4 linked regions of the Saccharomyces cerevisiae S288C genome follow. The gene in region 4 interacts genetically with the main gene of each other region. Each region holds a gene or a part of one and is shown on either strand. Other genes may lie near its edges.

The links.
Region 1: mutations in TGL2 (region 4) and PRP21 together harm fitness more than expected from each alone (negative genetic interaction), as found in Saccharomyces cerevisiae (2 studies listed by BioGRID).
Region 2: mutations in TGL2 (region 4) and CYB5 together harm fitness more than expected from each alone (negative genetic interaction), as found in Saccharomyces cerevisiae (2 studies listed by BioGRID).
Region 3: mutations in TGL2 (region 4) and CQD2 impair growth when combined (synthetic growth defect), as found in Saccharomyces cerevisiae (4 studies listed by BioGRID, with this or other methods).

The regions. Positions count from the first base shown.
Region 1 is NC_001142.9:51,375-55,730, reverse strand, and holds PRP21 (Prp21p), read right to left. Parts: upstream 2,391-4,356; coding exon 1,548-2,390; downstream 1-1,547. Other genes in the region: ECM25 (Ecm25p), read right to left, coding at 1-1,352; RCY1 (Rcy1p), read left to right, coding at 2,580-4,356. UniProt on the Saccharomyces cerevisiae protein: mRNA splicing factors, PRP9, PRP11, and PRP21, are necessary for binding of the U2 snRNP to the pre-mRNA in an early step of spliceosome assembly.
Region 2 is NC_001146.8:414,938-419,212, forward strand, and holds CYB5 (Cyb5p), read right to left. Parts: upstream 2,366-4,275; coding exon 2,003-2,365; downstream 1-2,002. Other genes in the region: DEAD-box ATP-dependent RNA helicase DBP2, read left to right, coding at 977-1,344; rRNA-binding ribosome biosynthesis protein NOP15, read right to left, coding at 2,889-3,551; YNL108C (uncharacterized protein), read right to left, coding at 4,077-4,275. UniProt on the Saccharomyces cerevisiae protein: Membrane bound hemoprotein which function as an electron carrier for several membrane bound oxygenases.
Region 3 is NC_001144.5:640,369-645,778, reverse strand, and holds CQD2 (Cqd2p), read right to left. Parts: upstream 3,153-5,410; coding exon 1,443-3,152; downstream 1-1,442. Other genes in the region: YLR255C (uncharacterized protein), read left to right, coding at 1-179; NDL1 (Ndl1p), read left to right, coding at 806-1,375; SYM1 (ethanol metabolism protein), read right to left, coding at 3,722-4,315; nucleobindin SSP120, read right to left, coding at 4,758-5,410. UniProt on the Saccharomyces cerevisiae protein: Component of MIOREX complexes, large expressome-like assemblies of ribosomes with factors involved in all the steps of post-transcriptional gene expression. Involved in mitochondrial lipid homeostasis.
Region 4 is NC_001136.10:567,223-571,844, forward strand, and holds TGL2 (triglyceride lipase), read right to left. Parts: upstream 1,482-4,622; coding exon 501-1,481; downstream 1-500. Other genes in the region: YOS9 (Yos9p), read left to right, coding at 1-333; E2 ubiquitin-conjugating protein UBC5, read right to left, coding at 2,012-2,411, 2,502-2,548; RNA-binding ribosome biosynthesis protein MAK21, read left to right, coding at 3,427-4,622. UniProt on the Saccharomyces cerevisiae protein: Mitochondrial triacylglycerol (TAG) lipase with activity toward long-chain diacylglycerols (DAGs) and triacylglycerols (TAGs). Involved in mitochondrial lipid metabolism.

The sequences.
Region 1 (4,356 bases), on a different chromosome or scaffold from region 4:
GTAACTGCCTTAATAGGAAGTGGAGGTTTGGCATTGAATGATGGGGATGAAACATTTCTGCTTGAAGACTTAGGTTTCAAGACTGGTGTATTTTGTAATGCGACAGGTGTGTACGTTGGAGACGTAACAGATCTTTGTGGACTAGGGCTTCGACTTCTAGGAAGGGTTAAGCAGCCTAGTTCACTGTATCTGGTTGGCGACGACTTCCTTGGCTTAGGCAAAACAGGGATAGTAGAAGACGATGATACGGATGAAGGAGGTGATGATATTTCCTTCGCGATTTCGGGGAAAAAGTCCAGTAAATTTTTAATATATCTCGACCCAATAGCTAAACGATCATTAGTCATCATGGAAAGTTTTTCCTTACATAACGCCGGAGTTAAAGCTTTACTTAGGGTCCTTGAATCATGTTTAGTCGATTCACCATGCGCTATGATCCTATTAAAAAAAGGAATTATGACCATAAAGAGGTCCTGGTATTGGTTGAATTTAATAATTTTGCGGAATGTTTCACTTGTGAACTTTAGATCATCAACAATTGGTAACGGAATTAATTCAATTGGGATTAGAGGTTTGGCTTTATTCTTAATGAAGTAATTCAACCACACGGATGCCAAAGAATAAATATCCCATTGAGATAAATCAATGTAGTTGTTTCTTTTGATAATATCCAAAAAAATGTTTACCTTTTTATAGTTTCCCGGCTTCTGGAATATCAATTCACACAACAGAGCGTCATTCTGTAATTTCTTGAAAATTTTATCGAATACTAACTGCCTATACTGTCTTATTGCCAGAGGGGTCAATCTGTTATAATATTCCTCCGGGACATTTATATGTTCGCGTATCTGGTAATCATATAAGTACACGTTCAACGATATTCTAAGTCGCGTAATATCTATTAGCTCGGATAAAGAAGTCAGGTCCAAGACATGAACTAAACTTGGAAAATCATGCTGACTATCTTTTGAGTCCAAGAAGTTAAAGTTCATAGCGTTTGAAATTACTTGATAGACCGACCTAACGAAGAATGACTCATGAACAATAAAAATCTTTTGTAAATAGAACTTGGTCTCTTTGGGTAACTTTGCAAACATTTTAATACCGTAAACCCAGCTTATTTTTCTCTGGGAAAACCCAGATGAAAAAATCACCAGTGAATATGGTGCCTGTGGCAATTTCATTACCAATCGATCCATGAGGGCATTAATAAGCAAGTCATAAACTTGCTTATCGCCAATTTCATCAGATGCTGGCAAATAAGTCGAATCAAAGACATAAATTGCGTGACCAGAGTTAGGATCAACTGAATAAGATCTAAAAAATATGTTATTAACGTTGATATCTATCATCCTGGCCTTCTTTCACGCTACCAATAGTATTATCCAGTAGGGCCATATCCTCGAGAATTTCACTTTCTATATACAAAATAACATCAACATGAAAAAACGCCAAAATACGTACGCCGTTAATAGTGATACATGTGCTCAATTACGGTGCATCATCAACCTTTACATACTTCTAGCTAACTTTGATTTTCATGAGGCTTATTTTTTACTTTTCTTTAACCTTGTCTCTCCCACAGCTCTAATTTTACGCTTTTTGCCCTTACTATCTCCTCCTTTTTGCTTACCTTGGTCGGATACTATCTTTTCTTCTTCATTTGTCGGCTTGATACTATCGAATAACTTAATACCAGTTTGTACTCTTCGCAGCCTCATCTGTTCTAAATCTAGAGAGCCTTCGAAGATTTCTGTGTCTTCAGGGATAGAAAATTTTGCCACTTGAGTAAATTTATCCCATGGAATGGCTGCAAATTGTATTTTGCACAACTCTACGAGCTTATCATGTTCCCGGTCTTTATCTTTCTCAAATTCCCAATACTGTGTTCTCTCAAAACAATTATCTAAAATGGTTCTCTTACTTTTCTTGATTTCTTGACCAGTAAAAGAATATACTCGCTTGTACTGGGCGACAAAATCAGTGAATGTCTTATGTAGCGGATGTGAGCTGTTCATAAAGTTTAATCTGGCTTCACCATCCTTTGAAATCATCTGTTCAACAATACTTTTATCCTTTGCATAGTAGCGTGCTGTCAATTTGATTACTTCCATGTCTCTTCGGGATATTCCAGTATCATATTGAGAGAACAGAAAATCCGGCGGCCTTGCTATCTCTCGCTCACTCTTTCTGTCATTATCTTCACCGCTGACAGTGTCTGTTGGCTCATTCATGAGTTTGGTGTAGTATTCATGGAGTGGGTCATCTTTCTTGATGAATGAGAATCTCTCATCTTCTAGCAGTTTGTTCTCAAACTCAACACCATGCTGCTTTATGTAATTTACTGTGGTTTTAATGTCCTCTTTCAGCTGGGTATCTTCTGGTTCCATTTATACAACTGCAAATTATTGCTGTTAGTTTTACGCTTTACCTTATTTCTTCCTGTATTTAAGTGTTTCAAGGCTAACTTTTGCCGAAATATTTCGTTGAAGGAAGGTTCTTATTTTATCAAAAAATGGTCAACAGACAAACAATAGAAAAACCAAAAGAAAACAAAAGCTTTTGAGGAAATCGGTAAAATGGATGATCTGCTAAAAGTTCCCGAGATTGTAACCAATATTGCCTCATATTTATCTACTGTAGATTATCTGAGTTTTCAACAAGTGAATAAACGGGTTTATGCAATCATTAACGGCAAAAATGATTCAAAGTATTGGTCATTGAAATTGACTAGAATGGGTCTCCAACAGGTGCATTCAAATGAAGAAGAAGAAATTACGTTGCTGGATGAAAATGATAATCAAAATTCCCTTCGCATCTTCGAAATATACAAATCTTTCACTGCTCAAAATTCTAAAAAAATCTTTGTGAAATTTTACCGTTGTTATAACTCATACGCTAGGAAGCTATATAATAATAATCTAGCAAATTTCTTTCCTACTTCATATTCCAACGATCCGTTGAAACAAACAAGAATTCTAAATTTTATCAAAAAGTACAATTTCTCGAATAAAAATGATATAGAAACATTTACTAGGATTGAAACTAATTTCAACATTCTTAGGGAAATCTTCATTAATTCTGTTCTCAAAGAGTCAGAATTGAATTACCAGTCTAATAATTTAGCTGCCGTCGCTCGTTTCATGAAAATTTTATTGATATCTAATGAGGAAAGCAATGCTATCGAATTTTTCAAGTCAAAGGCTGATTTGCCTCCCAGTTTAACGGTTTTGCCGTCTAATGATGAATTATTTTGGGCCGAACAACCAAGGGAAGAGGACAGCGGTGGGAGTACCGTGATATTTAATTCTAAAAATTTAGATACGTTTCTCAATCAGCTAAGGGATTTCCTCAACGAAAAGATTAAATTAGCGGACATTTTATTCAAAGATGAGTTCCCTGTAATATTACAGTTCATCGAGTCCTTTATCCAAGATATTTTATTAGATATTTTAAACAATATCTTATTAAGCTATAGTGAATTTTTAAAAGAAAATGGAAAGGATAGTAAAGCCAATTATGAATGCGTACCCGAACTTTATTTCACATTTATAAAAAAGTTTGATACTGAATTAAACGACTCAGTAAACGCAGGCGCAAATTTCCGTAAAGTTGTTCGTGACCTTTTAAACCTGTATCTCGAGCCCTTTGTTGTCAACTATATGAATCAGACAACTAGAGTATTTGAATCATTGATCAACTCACAATTAGCTAATTATGACACACAAGTTCAAGACAAGCAGCGTGAGCAAAACGCAAAAATTTATAACACTTTAAAAGATCAAACGGATGCTTCGAGTGCAAGTAACAATGAATTGCCGAATGACCTCTCAATAATTACTGAAACCTCCAAAACTGTCCCAGAAGCGGATTCAAAACCAAGTACGATCCATCAATCAGTTCATTCAACTGATATTTCTAATGATAAACTAGACTTTCTAAGTTCCTTCACCAAGATTTTCAAGTTCTCGAACAATGAAAATCAAAGGCTAAAGCAACAACTACAACTAGCCTACAACTTAAATTTAATTTCCAATAACTTGCAAAACATTAAATCGTTAATAAGTCTCGATTTATGTTACAAAATTTTACAGGAAACAAGCGAAAAGACGGATCAAATTTACAAATTTCATACGATTGAAAGTTTGCTACCATTGATCAAGCTACGCTGTCAAGAGATTTTCAAAATTTTAATTACACAATTGAATAAAAATCACGTTAAACCTGCATTTGAAAAGGCAATCCTGCTACTACAAAAATATAATCCTAACGAAATAGAACAAATAGAAATAAAATTCAATTCACTTTCGCCAGCCAATACTCAAGTCGAACCTTTAGTACAATTCACTGAACTTA
Region 2 (4,275 bases), on a different chromosome or scaffold from region 4:
TATTGATTTTATTTTTTTTTGTTACCCCTAACGATATTACAGCTATTTCCTAATGGCTTTTAATGACATTAATGACTTTATGACAACCATGATAGTACAGAAGAGAGACCTTTTTTCTTTTTTTTTTTTTTTTCTTTTTTTTTTTTTTTTCTTTTTTTCTTTTTTTTTTTTTTGAGCCTTTTCGAATCTAGACTCTATGTGAGTCTATTCTCGATGGGGAGTATCGGAAATTGAATTTTAATTCGAATGACTTCTAATGCATCACTACAGAAAACTAATATTGGGAGGATGAGAAAAATTGACTTTAATTAGTCGTTTTGAGAGACGGGAAATTATAAACTCGGAGAAGTGTATTTGTGTTCATGATTTGCACTTCATGTCAAAAGAAATTTCGCTTTTTGACATCGGCGCAAATAAACAAGGAATTGGCTTTTCAGCTTATTTCTAGAACGCATACATACGCTTCGTTGATCGTTGTTTTTTTCAATGCTTGGCATTTGTACAAGGGTAGATTGTTTTATTGGAAAAATAATAGTATATTCTACTTTGAAATGCCGTCATCCTTCTTGACTATTGTTATTCTCATTTTGTGTAGTTTATGCATTTTGTAGTTATATTGAGATACTGTTGCATCCCAAGTTCGAATTATTAAGAAGTGCTGATAAAAATGGAAAATAACAAAATAAAAGGATTTCAACCATATTCAGAAATCATTTACTTTGTTTTCCTTTTTTTAAGTGCTAGCTTTCATTCAGTTTGAATAAGGATTCTGGAGTATTGATGATTAAATATTTCGAATTCTTTAATAAAAATATAATTTCTGATAATCTTCAAGCCAGGGGGAAATTTGAGACAATGTTGGGAGTCCAAACATGAATTTGTGGGGGGCATGAAAATAAAGTTCATATACAGAATAACGAACCAAATTACTAACAGTATGCTTTGTAAACGTTTGTTTACTTCTTTATTTTTTCAGATGTCAAAGGTATCAATTACGTTATCAACTACGATATGCCAGGTAACATTGAAGATTATGTTCACAGAATCGGTAGAACTGGTAGAGCAGGTGCTACTGGTACTGCTATATCTTTCTTCACCGAACAAAACAAAGGTTTAGGTGCTAAATTAATCTCTATCATGAGAGAAGCTAATCAAAATATTCCTCCCGAATTATTGAAATACGACAGGAGATCTTATGGTGGCGGTCACCCAAGATACGGTGGTGGTCGTGGTGGTCGTGGTGGCTATGGCCGTAGAGGTGGTTACGGTGGTGGCCGTGGTGGTTACGGCGGTAACAGGCAGAGAGATGGTGGCTGGGGTAACAGAGGTCGTTCAAACTATTGAAGTCAAAGTGATTCAATTCATTCATCTCTATTAATAATAATTATATAAGTTGACTGCACCTTATTTCTTCAATGCATGATAAAATTTTATTTGCTGTATACTACATTTTTAATATTTTAAAGCTCTTCGTCACACTTTTTCTTTAATACTCCTAAGTTTTTGGGTGAACGGTGGCAACTGGATTGAAGTTATTTCGCATAACGCTTAGTGTGCCGTAAAATAATAGGACAGACACTTTTCTTTGTTCTCGTACAACCCTGGGGCCGATGTTAAACGAATGATTTTCAAAAAAACAGTAGACTTACAAAGAAGTCGTGCACTAGCGCTTATGGGTCATTTTAGAATGAGCGAAATGCACGACAACCAGGTTGATCGTATTGAAGTAAGAGCAGAGCTTTATTTGCCTTTTTTTTTTTTATCTAAGACGATGATTTTTAGCCATACACAAAGATAAGTATATACATATTAATTTATAATAATTCTATCTGCCAGGCAGATTCTATGATACAGTGACATACTTCTATGCGATATAGTAGCATAAGTTAATGTTGTAAGACATTAATTTGGCCTTGATTGCTTGTAAATAAATAATTTAATAAACTGAAACGAAAAATTCAATTGAGTTTGGAGAAGAGTGTGGGCTATTCTGGAAGAAAAATTATTCGTTCAACAAATAATAAGCAACACCTAGCATTAAAATGGCCAATATGACAACCAATGTACCACTACCTTTACTTTGGTTTTCAGAGGTAGATACCTTTTCCACAGAAACGCGCTCACTGGTCTTGTCAACGTCACCAATGTATAAACCTTTCAGTAGTCTCAATGCTTCGTCAGAATGACCGATATCGACAAAGCTTTCTGTAGCATCTTGTCCACCCAAATCCATTATAATTTCATCACCACCTGGATGTTCATCTTTGAATTGAGAAACATCGTAAACTTTGTCATCGATGATAATCCAGAAATTTTCTGGGCCATTGTGTTCGGCAACTTCTTGGTAACTGTAAACTTTAGGCATGATTGTTTGATATTTTATGTTGTAGTTGATTGATTTTCTTTACTATGAAGAAAATGAAAATCGAATTTAAATATTAACGAGGAAGCCTGAACGAAAATTTTTGAGAAAGTTTCAAAAGCTTCTTGTTCTTTATATAGTTATTGGAAAAAGGACAATATATATATTTGTTATTTATTGATATAATAACAATGCTTCTCAAATATCGCTTTTTGGCCACGAATGCGACAAAAATTTTCTCGTTATGCTAACCTCTCTCACTATCTCGATCTCGTATAGCTTTCTTTTTTGCAGCTATTGTTCTTTTTCTGGGCCGTTAAATTTTTCATCCGGAAACTCCAGGCTATTACCCGCTCCGTGATTTTGGTCGTTGAATCTTCGTAAAAGCAATCATGTAAATATCATTGAATACGGACAAACGGAACTATATTGCTGGAATTAATGATATAAATGGTTTCCCAAGTTTGCTATATCTCCTATTCTATCTTACAAAACCCTTTTCTCAGGGTGGATGAGAAGTGACAAGTCACCATTTGAATTCGATACCTGACTTGGCTAATTTTTTTATCCTTTCTTCATGTTTTTGCTTCATGTTATCCTTTAGCTGTTTTACTGGTTTGGTGATACCTTTCTCTACTAGAACTCTCTTCTTGTATTTGTACAATTTCTCGATTTTAGCTCCTTTTGGTAATACACGCACTTGTAGTAGATGACCCATCAACAAGTAATTGTTCATAGATTCTTGGGCGATCATTGCATCCTCTTTATTAACGAATTCTAAGAAGCCATAATGTCTGGAATTTCCAGTTTTCTTATTACGTGCTAATCTCACTTCTTTTAAATCACCGAATTGAGCAAAATATTTACTTAATTCCTTTTCGTGGAACCCATGTGGCAGTCTACTCACATAAATAATCCCAGAATACTCTTCAAGTGTCTTTTTATCTTTCGACTTTTTTTCATTAGCCTGCTTCTTAGGATTCAATCTTTTAATCTTGTGTGTACCGCTCTGCTCATCATCAGAAGCGGCTAAACCTTCAATTTCATCTTCATCTTTTTCGTCTTCTTCATCTGAACTGCTAGACGATGTTTCTAGAGCCAACTCTTCTTTCTCCTGTATAGGTTTTTCTTCGGTGGGTTGTTTGGTTACTGTTTCCTTGGTGGAAGTTTTGCTTGTTGACTTTACCATATCGATCTCTTTCCTCTGTTATTTTATCTCTAGAACTTAACCCTATAGAAAAGGTAGTTAATGAAGTTAAAAGTAATGGTAATCGTCTTCAAATTAAGTGATGAGATGAGATGCGATGCACTACTTCATTTTTTCTTATGGCGGAAAATTTTTCATAGTGAAAAGAAACAGGCAAAATCTGGGGGGTAACCGCATACGTCTCTGCTATGCCGTCTGTAATGAGGATGCTAAAGTTGCAATAGCTGCTATGCACATTAGAAAGGGTTTAGCAGGATAATGAGTTTTCAGAGATAGCACAAAACTCGAAAGGTTTCGGTACTACTACCTAGACAGCTCATCTTTCAATCGTTGAACCTTGAATTTTGAAGTTTAGGGATATTAAAAGATACTGTTAATTCTATCAATTTACACTAGACTTTGACATATGTATATATATATATATATTCACACAGCTTCATCATGAAATAAAAATCAAATGCAGAAGTGTATAATGAGAAGTACAGAATTCAAGACTCACTTTAGTTTTCACTCCATTTTTAGTTTTCCGCTCTCAGCTGCTCTTCTCGCTTTGATATCAGCGTCTGAACCAGCCTCAAAGGCATTCATAAACGTCCAATTCATTTCTTCCCCATTAGTTAAAAAGGAGGTGTTGCCATTCATTGTAAGTTTCCACTCTCTCTCTTCAAATGGTATACTTTCATTTTCTCCTTTCACCAGCTCAAAT
Region 3 (5,410 bases), on a different chromosome or scaffold from region 4:
GAAAGAGGAAGAGAGAGAGAGAGAAAGGGCACACGAAATTCAGGATACGGCGGAGGAGTTATCTTTATTTTATACGGTCTTGCCTTGTAAGGCCCTACTCAAGCGGGAACAAGAAAAACAGTTGTAGCTTCCACAAGATGTTGGCTATAGAGATTGTTCTGTGCTTAAAGGCTCGCTAATCAATATTTCTTGAAGTACGATTTCTGTGTGTATAGATTCTCCACAATTGTTTTTCTTAGTGAGGCTCCGCCACGATCGCGTCTTGCCATCATCGTCCATCCATGGAAAAGAGCTACAAAAAACGACTGCTGGTGTACATACAATGCTCTGGGTTTCGTACATTTGCTTACTAAGTGACAGAAGCGTTCATCGATCCTTCGAAAAGGGTAACAGCGGAAAAACAGGAAATATTGGCTACATACTATAACTCAACAACGTATCATGAACTATTCCGCATATTCGTAACCTTATTTGTAGCGCAGTAAAGCCGCTAAAGAGGTCTTCTCCTATCGGATCTTGCTTTTTTCTTCCTTTTTTTTTTTTTTTTACAATAGAACAATAAAAAAACTGAACGTTCTCTATATCATCTGTGACGGCAAGTATCAATTATTTTATCAATTAGTTTGCAGAATCGGGAAAATTAATAACATTAGAAATGAAAGTTTTCATACATAAATTTGCAATTAAGGATGAAAAAGAGGGATAATAAGGGCTACAACAAACCACGAACGGCCGAAAGAACAATCCTCGCAAATTTAATTGGAATATCCAAGGGACATATACGTGCAACAATTGCGACTTTCCTATGGTGCCGAATTTGGATTTGGAAACAGCTATACAGATAATCTCCTCACTGGAGACCCAGTTGAGCGAGCTTGAAGGCGCCACGAAAGAATATGAAAATGATTTGGAACAAGTAATATCAAAGTTAAAAAGCGATCTTCTTGAGAGCCAACAACAAAATAAGTGCAATAAGAAACAGATAACAGATTTAGAGATACAGGTAGATGAGTTGGAAAATGAAAATATCCAACTGAGGAATAAGATAGAGACATTACAATTGGAGAGTGACCGACGACTGGAACGCAACGTTCTACTGGAACACGAGTTACTCGACACCAAAGAGGCGCTGCAAAAGTTAAGAGTCAGCAAAGAAGAAGCCACTAGCGGTGAGACTAGAAGGAACACCAGGTCGTTACCCAGTCAAAATAAAAAAATGAAGTTGTTTAAGGATACTATCAAAGTCTCGACCACATCTTCAACCTTGTACTTGCAGAACATGGCAAAAACTAACAACGCTGCAAGAAGTCACTGTAATATTCCAAATACCCAAATAACACAATCCACTGTGATAGCAACAACGTCTTCCGTTTAATGACACATATAAAATTGTTATATATAATTTTACGTATATATTTACAAGTAGAAAGAACGCTAACGATTTAAGATGACAACCAAGTCTTCGGAATAAATTTTTTCCACCACAACACAAAATCATAAAAATACAATTGATTAATACGCCTCTCATAGACTATCCAGTTTGTCAAGTTCTCCCACATCCATTTAATAGACCACCTCGCATACTCCGAATTAATTCTTTCCACTTTTTCGTCGTAGACCGTCTTGGCGCAGTATTGCGTCATGATCAGGAAAGTCCTCTCTGGCCCGAGTGGATTCTGTAGACATTCATCAAGATGTCTGGTTAGGTCGTTAGTCTTCAATATCAAAAGCACTACACGAGGGATTCTAGACAAAATGCTCATCAAGTCGCTCAGTAACGTTCCTTCCAAGATCCCATTTGCCATGACGTCCATTTCTTCTTGTGTTCGACTCGTTGAAATGTCGTAATTCAAAGCAGCATCAATGCTACGGCCCGTAATTGCAGCCGCTAAAAGGGGAAACTGTTCGTCGGTGATGTTTGCGAATCCTTTGGCATACTTCTTCATTTTTGTCTGGTCCTTGTCGAATAGGAGCGACAACCAAAATTTGGCATAAAGTCTTCTTGTTCTCGTGCTAGGATATCTATAGAGTCCGTGGTCAAATAAAACAATTTCAAAGTTATGGTATCCATTATCTTTAGCGGGCTTAACAGATCGTATGGCCAGATTTCCTCCATGAGGATCACAATGAATACCTACATTGGGAGTAAAAATCATGTTATTGAAAATATGAGAGAGACAACTCGAAACTTCACTGCGCGAGATACCGTGACTGTCAATGTACTCCAAATCATCCAACCTTTTGCCTCCAACATATTCCATAATCAAAATTCTTTTGTGGCTTTCAATGACCTTGGGTATTTTCAATGCTGTTTGCTTCTTGAACTTACTAAAATAATGACGGGTTTTTTCTGCATTTTCAGCTTCTTTGGTAAAATTCAGTTCCACGTAGATTGAAGACTGAAGCTCATCACCAAGCCACGTTAACGGATAATCAGGGAAGAAGACATCCAGCAGTTCAAACACTGTTCTTGTCAGCATAACATCTAATGGTATAAACTCCTTCAACGATGGATGCTGACATTTGACAGCTACACTAGAACCTTTACCGTCACTATTTTTTAGTTTTGCCACATGAACCTGTGCCAAGGAAGCTACACCTATCGGGGTTTTGTTGAATTCTAAAAACATATCCTCAATGCTGGTGCCTAGATCTTCTTTAAATAACTCATCAATTTCTTCGTAGGTGGATTCGGGACAGTGGTCTTGCAACGGTATCATTGTATCCGTCCATTCTTTAGGCAACAGGTAGGTCATGGCCCCAATGTGCTGGCCTAATTTGATATATATCCCACCATTCGATCGTAGCGCATGCAACGTGATTAAGGCACACATCTTATGACATTTATTTAAGGCAACTTCTCGTTCTTTTTTGTTCTCATAGCTTTTATTTAGAGCCCTCTTGTAATGGTAGAAGCAACGAGTGGTAGCTTGTGTGACGACAGCGATTCTTTTAGTCGTCAGTGCCGTGTGCTTTACAGAATCATGAAAAGTGTCATTAAAGTTGTACAAAACTACTGCTGATGCAATAGTCCCACCCACCAGAAGAGATTTTCTTGTCCTGGGGCTTCTTTGAGGGATGCTTTTACCTGTCCTAACGTACCGACGGAATACCTCAAACGGTAGTTTGTTAAAAAAAGCTTTGGTCATCATCTACTATCAACACCGAATAAGAAACATTCAACTATAATCTTGCTCCGTTTCAGGCTCAATAAACTTTCAGACTGATTCTTTCCAGTTACGAAGGTAGGAGTACAATATGCATACATAACGCAGCGATTTACAAGATATGTTCCTCGGGTCTATGTTTTGACCTCTTTTAACGGCATATGAAAAAACCTTTGAAAAAATGAAATATTATATAAAGGTCCAGAACCCACAGTGGTACTAAAAGGCCCACTTAAGTCTCACACCTAATTAAACACCTTTGCATAAACGGTAGCTGAAGAACAACAGGCATGACCGCAATAGTGAAATGTTAGCTACTATTTCCTCTATAAAAGAAGTACGAATGTAATTAAATAAATTGTTCCTGACCAAGCACATCTGTAAAGGAAAAGCAGATTGCTAGCCAACTTTGGTGACTCAAATATTTATGAAGTTGGTCTGCTCTCTGCCGAAAGTCTATTAGGTATATGCTGTTCCAGTACCCCAAGGAACAAGGTCTGATAAATATGCTAGTTGAATTCCAAATATTTTCAAAATCAGGATTTCTTATCCAGTTATTCGACCACGGGTGGATAATGAACAGGTACCTTGTCTTTCTCCATAACCTTTGAGTTTTTATAAGATAAGTAAGTGTTCCAAAATATTGCAACGACATTAACAGCTAGTAACCTATGTTGTAAAGGAACAACAGAAAAGTTAATCGCTTGGAAAAGTGGCCAAACTGCCCAATTAGTCAAAAGTGTAGGCCACCATTGCTCTTTTATTTTCAACTTAGCTACGTCAAATGATCTACCTTCCATGATGGACATACAGGTGAAATAAAATGGCAAACCTAGCGGCGCAAACGCCAATTGATCGACAGCTACCCGTAAAACCATATTAGACCAGTGGTACTGAGGTCTGTTACGCATATAAATCTTGTTGTTCAAGATCTTGTACCACTTGTCACCTATAAAGGAGAAAATTAAAGAACCATAGATGACAGCCCTAGCTGTCCTTTTATAATCATAACCCTTGTTTACTTTGGATGTTGGAAACAACAATTGAGCAGAAACATCACCAATTCCAAATAGCGCACCTGTCATTATCGCATTCGTAGTTTTGGGCCTTCTCTTCAAGCTCGCTTCATATAAATGCAATAACTTCATACTGTTTTAATATCAATTCTATCTTTCCTATAGTAATAACAAAAGACTGTGTTTGCCTTTTCCCTTTTGTAAGGCTAAATATGACAACATAGCATTCAAATAGCTCTTCTATCATATCACTATCATAGATATTTCCATTTTTTTTTTTTTTTCACTTTGTACTTATACTGTTAAAGTTCGACATTTAAGGGACAAGGAGGTGCCACTGTTTCCCGAAACGCTTCTTGTTACCATCGGAGAGAAAAGACCAATACATACGTAATTAGAACATAGAAAATAGAACGTTTAAAGTAGATAGTTAATCACAAAGGAGAGGCATCACAACGATGCGATGGTAAAAATATATTTTAAGTGCTTTGATTACTTACTACATGCTAATTGACTACATACATAGTGTCTTGAATATTTTCTCAGTCTCAACTATTCATCTTGACCAAGTCCATTAAAAAATTCCATTTTTGAATTTCTCGGGAATATTTTTCAGCTCTATTCTAGACTCTAGTTCGTCATCAGTTATTACAGTAGCTCTAGAAGCGCCTCTTTGAATTTCTTCTTCATGTTCAATTTCATGTTCATGATGAAGCAATTCATGTTCTATGTCTTCTTTGTGAACGACTTTAACGTCTGGATCTTTGTCCTTATGAAACTTATTCCAGTGATGAATTTCATATTCTAGCTCAAAATCGGAGTGGTGACCTACACCAACGCCAAGGTCAGGGAACTTGTTTCCTCTCTTAGCAAATTGTAGATATTCCTCCTTGGTGATTTTGGTATTATCATCAACATCCAATAACCTCATAATAAGGCTAACAACACGCTTAGCCATTTCATTGTCAATTTTCTCAGATTCATCGTGTTGTCCCATACCATCACCAGCCCCCACAATTTCTTCACGGTTCAACCCGTAGAGAGATAGAATATCGTTTTCATCTAAAAATCCTTTCTTCTTGATATCATGTAACGCGAAGAAAGTCTCTGGAGTGTAATCTTTTAGCTGATGCTCATGGTCCATATGCCACTCCTCCCAGGATAAACCATCAGGTGGTGCCTCATTTTCCACATTAATTTCAGATCCTATTTCTGCCGTGGCAGTTA
Region 4 (4,622 bases):
AATGAGCTATTCTTGAGGATTTCTAAGGAGATAGCAGAAGTGAAAGAATTATTAAACGAAATCGTAAGTCCACATGAAATGGAAGTAATATTTGAAAACATGAGAAATCAACCGAATAATGATTTTGAACTGGCGTTGATGAACAAGTTGAAATCCTCATTAAATGATGATAACAAAGTTGAGCAGATAAACAACGCAAGGATGGATGATGATGAAAGCACTAGTCATACAACCAGAGACATCGGGGAAGCTGGATCACAAACGACAGGGAATACTGAATCGGAGGTAACAAACGTAGCAGCTGGTGTTTTCATCGAACATGATGAGCTTTAAACAAGGAGGAGTATAAACTTTTAATTTTTTTTTTTCACGTTTTGCCTTTTATATACCGATTAAATATTTATATTTCTGACTTTTTCTTTACCGACACCAACAGGTGTAGGCTCAAAACATAAAAAAAAAGAGTATTCTATAAACAGTTCTTACGAATAGAACAACTCTTAAAATCCTTTTCTTGCCAAGTCATCGGTTATCTTCAAGTAAAAATTCAGGATGTCAACCTTCTCTCCGACAGTAGTGGTACGAAAAAATTTACTCCAATCATCCTGTAACTTATTTTTCCAATTGATGACGTCCAGATGATCCATGTCCTTCAAAGTCCCCCTGTATTCACCCCATTTACTACTATTTATGGTTACAAGGCCATCGTTGGGGCAACCTTTAGACCTTTCATAAACAATTTTCCAGGGAGTACAAAAGACATTGTACCACTTAGGCACAAAGGAGCATCCATACGAAAAATAAGAGACTTTTGGACTATTTGGCGTAACCAAATTGAAATATTTCATATACGCAGTCGTGAGTTGGTAGAAACATATTGGCAATATCTTTTGGCTAACTCTCAAGGCATTTAGATTTTCAAAAAGGTCGACTACGTAATCGGCCATTTCTGACCCTCTATGTGGAGTTGAAATAGTGGTTAGGCTCAATATATCGTAATTCCTATTTTTTATATTGCAAATTAGATATCGGCAGTCTAGTCCCCCCATTGAGTGTGCGATTAGATTTAACGAATGTCGCTTATCCTTCGACTCGATTTTCTTTACTTCTTTCTGTAACTGAGCATCCAAAGCCATTGCTCTTTCCTCGATGCTACCAAAACCTGGTACCTTAGTGGTGATAACAGTACATCCCTTAGATTGAAGAAATTTTTTAACGCCAATCCAATATTCAATCTCCAACAAATTTGTGTACTTGTTATCACTCTTATCTTCGTCATCCTGCATGAAATTTTCTGCCATATTATGTACTATTGAATTGGAAATTAGGTTTGTCAGATGGAATACAGAAGGGATTAGAATTAATTTGTCAAATCCTGATAAACCATGGCAAAATACAATAGGATTTTTTGGGGGCTTGTACGAATCAGGAACTTTGACGGAGTCTATTATTATATCATTAGCTTTATTATCATTTTTCATTTTTTTTATGCTTTTCCTCCTTTAAAACAAGACGCTTTATTCTCTATATTCTTCCTTGTACATATTTTCAATAGCGGTTCATATTAGGCTCATTATGAGAAAAGGTTGGTGAGAAATTTAGCATATTTTAAACAATCATTTAGCTAGATGAATCAGAATGTTTTTCCGACAAATAGTAGCTCGCGTGGCGTAATGGCAACGCGTCTGACTTCTAATCAGAAGATTATGGGTTCGACCCCCATCGTGAGTGCTTTGTTTCTTCCGTGATAGTTTAATGGTCAGAATGGGCGCTTGTCGCGTGCCAGATCGGGGTTCAATTCCCCGTCGCGGAGAATTTTTTTTAATTGATAGTAGCAGGTACAGGAGAAAGAGTAAATAATAGAAAGCAAGGTACGTGATGGGAATTGATCAAACTAATATCGCTATACCTATAAGAATTTGCGTGTTTGTATACGTAAAGAATATATAATATATTGATGTGTGCGCTGAGGAAGGTAAGTCTACACAATTTATCCGTTAGCCCAAATTAATCAAACAGCATATTTTTTAGTCCACTCCTTAGCGGTGGCTTCATACTTAGCCTTATCTGTCTTGTAGATTTGAGCAATTTCAGGGACCAAAGGATCGTCGGGATTAGCATCTGTTAAAAGAGAGCAAATAGACAACAAAACTTTTGAAAGGGTTAGCGCCGGTGACCACTGGTCCTTTAAAATATCAAGGCAGATATTACCACTCGAATTAATATTCGGATGATAAATTTTGGTCGTAAAGTTTACCTTCGGTGGCTTGAATGGATAATCAGTTGGAAAGTGAATAGACAAAAAGAAAACGCCACCAGCGTAGGGTGAGTCTGAAGGACCCATAATAGAGGCTTGCCAATGATACAGGTCATCCCCTACAGGTCCTGCTGAACATGAAGCAGGAGGATCTCTTCGGAAAAAAGTTCAAAAAAGAAACTCATGTTAGTAATCCTTTTTCTTTACAGATCAAGAAAAATCATTCATTTTATTTTTAACATACCTCCCTAAATCACTTAATTCCTTGGCAATACGCTTGGAGGAAGACATTTTTAGTTTAGTTGAGGGTGGTGAGCAGAAAATGACTTTTCAAGATGGTAGTCAATAAGCAGTCCTGACCTTGGAAAATAAAACTCCAACCATCTATTAAAATCCGGGATACAATTATTTTTTATAATTTTGGGTCGGCTATCTTTGGTACAAATGAGTAAGGCGGCAGCCGCTTTATTACCCGCTCGCAGTGGCAACTACCTCCACCACAGCCATGCTTCAAAAGCGCTTGCTACGAGAGTTTACACCGTACTAGCACTAGCAATACATCTAGATATCTAATTGAATTACGCACAATATAAGAAAAATCGGTTTATGAGCCTAATGAATGAGTACCAAAATAAGTAGGCAAAAAGTACAGCCTCTCATGGAACAATGAACACAACCCTAGTATAATTCATCTGTACTTTGGGACTTTCTGTGTAAGTAAACCAAGACATAATTTAATATATTTGAGAAATCTATCCTTATCCAATTGGTTGTTGCAGATGATTTCATATAAGCAAAAATGTTGGTATAACTTTCACCACATGCAATAGCAGATCTTTTGTATAACGCGTATTGCCCAACATAATCTAAGATCAGATCATTAATAAGAAAATCTCATTTCCAAAACCGATTGGACATATACTGTTTAGTAATAACCGCCGATATGATGTTCTTCCGTTCTCTTGCCTCTGTATTCCGTTACCCGTTGCAGAATGAAAAATTTTTTCTTTTGGCGATGAGGTAAAAAATTATCAGAGATGCCAAAGTAATGGAGTTGCGAATAAGAAAGCATTATGTCGTACACATCGGAAGCGAAATTCTATAGTTTGATAAATTTCTATAGATATTAAACCTCTCCAGTGTCTTTGTTGGTACAGTAATCAAAAATAATGAGTGAGAACAACGGCAATCCGCTGGATTTGTCTTCACTAAGAAATAAGATTTCGTCAAAATTGCGAGACAATAACAGCAAAAAGGCGAAGAAAACCCACAAAGGCAAGGACGTGAAGGCCAGTAGTAATTCAAAGAAGGTAAATGAGGACATACGTCGTGAAGCACTAGCATTGGGTGCCAGCGAAGAAGATCTAAAATTGATTCAAGGATTAAGCGATGATGATGACGCTAAGAGCGAACAGGAATTTGATGCCGTCGCTGACGAGGATGCTGACGACAAGGGATTCAAGAACGATCTTCAAAATTTCATGAAGAATGTAGGATTTGACCAACACAAACTCGAAGATGTAGACGATGACGATATAGAAGAAGAATCCACTAGCTCCAAAGAATCTAAAATACCCGCTCAAGAGAAGGAACATGCACAATCAAACATTGCATCATCGACAATAGAGAAAACCTCCCAAGAGTCAATCGATAATGGCAGTGAACAAGAAGAAAACACAGTAGAAGAGGCTAATCTTAGTTCAGACCAAGAGCCAGAATCAGAATCTGCAGAGAAAGAAAAGAAAGAGGAGAAAGATGGAGGTTTAATTACTCAAACTACTATTATCTCATCTGACAAACTTATTATTCCTTACGATAAACCATGGTATGAAATTCCATTGGATCCTCAAGTTGGACAAAATGATGATGTTGAAGAATTATCCAAGGAACAGATTGAGAAACTTTTTGAAAGAGGTAAGCAAACGCTAGAAGCTGACAACCAAACTTACTATGAGGAGTTTACAAAGGACTCATCGCAGGCCAAGTTCATGTCCCAAATCCTATCGGACGGTACCCTCAACGATAAAATATCTGCCGTAACTTTACTCATTCAAGATTCGCCATTGCATAACACTAAGTCTTTAGAAACTCTGGTTTCATATTGTGGCAAAAAATCGAGAAACTCTGCTTTACAGAGTTTAAACGCTTTGAAGGATTTATTCTTAAATGGTCTTTTGCCCAACAGAAAGCTGAGGTATTTCAAAAATCAACCTGGCTTATCTATGATGCTAAACAAGAAAACTCTTGCAATTTTCTATTTCGAAGATTATTTAAAGAAACTGTTCTTTCGTGTTTTAGAAGTCTTGGAAGTGCTTTCCCACGATCCAATTATTCACGTTAGATTACAAATATTAAATCATGTATT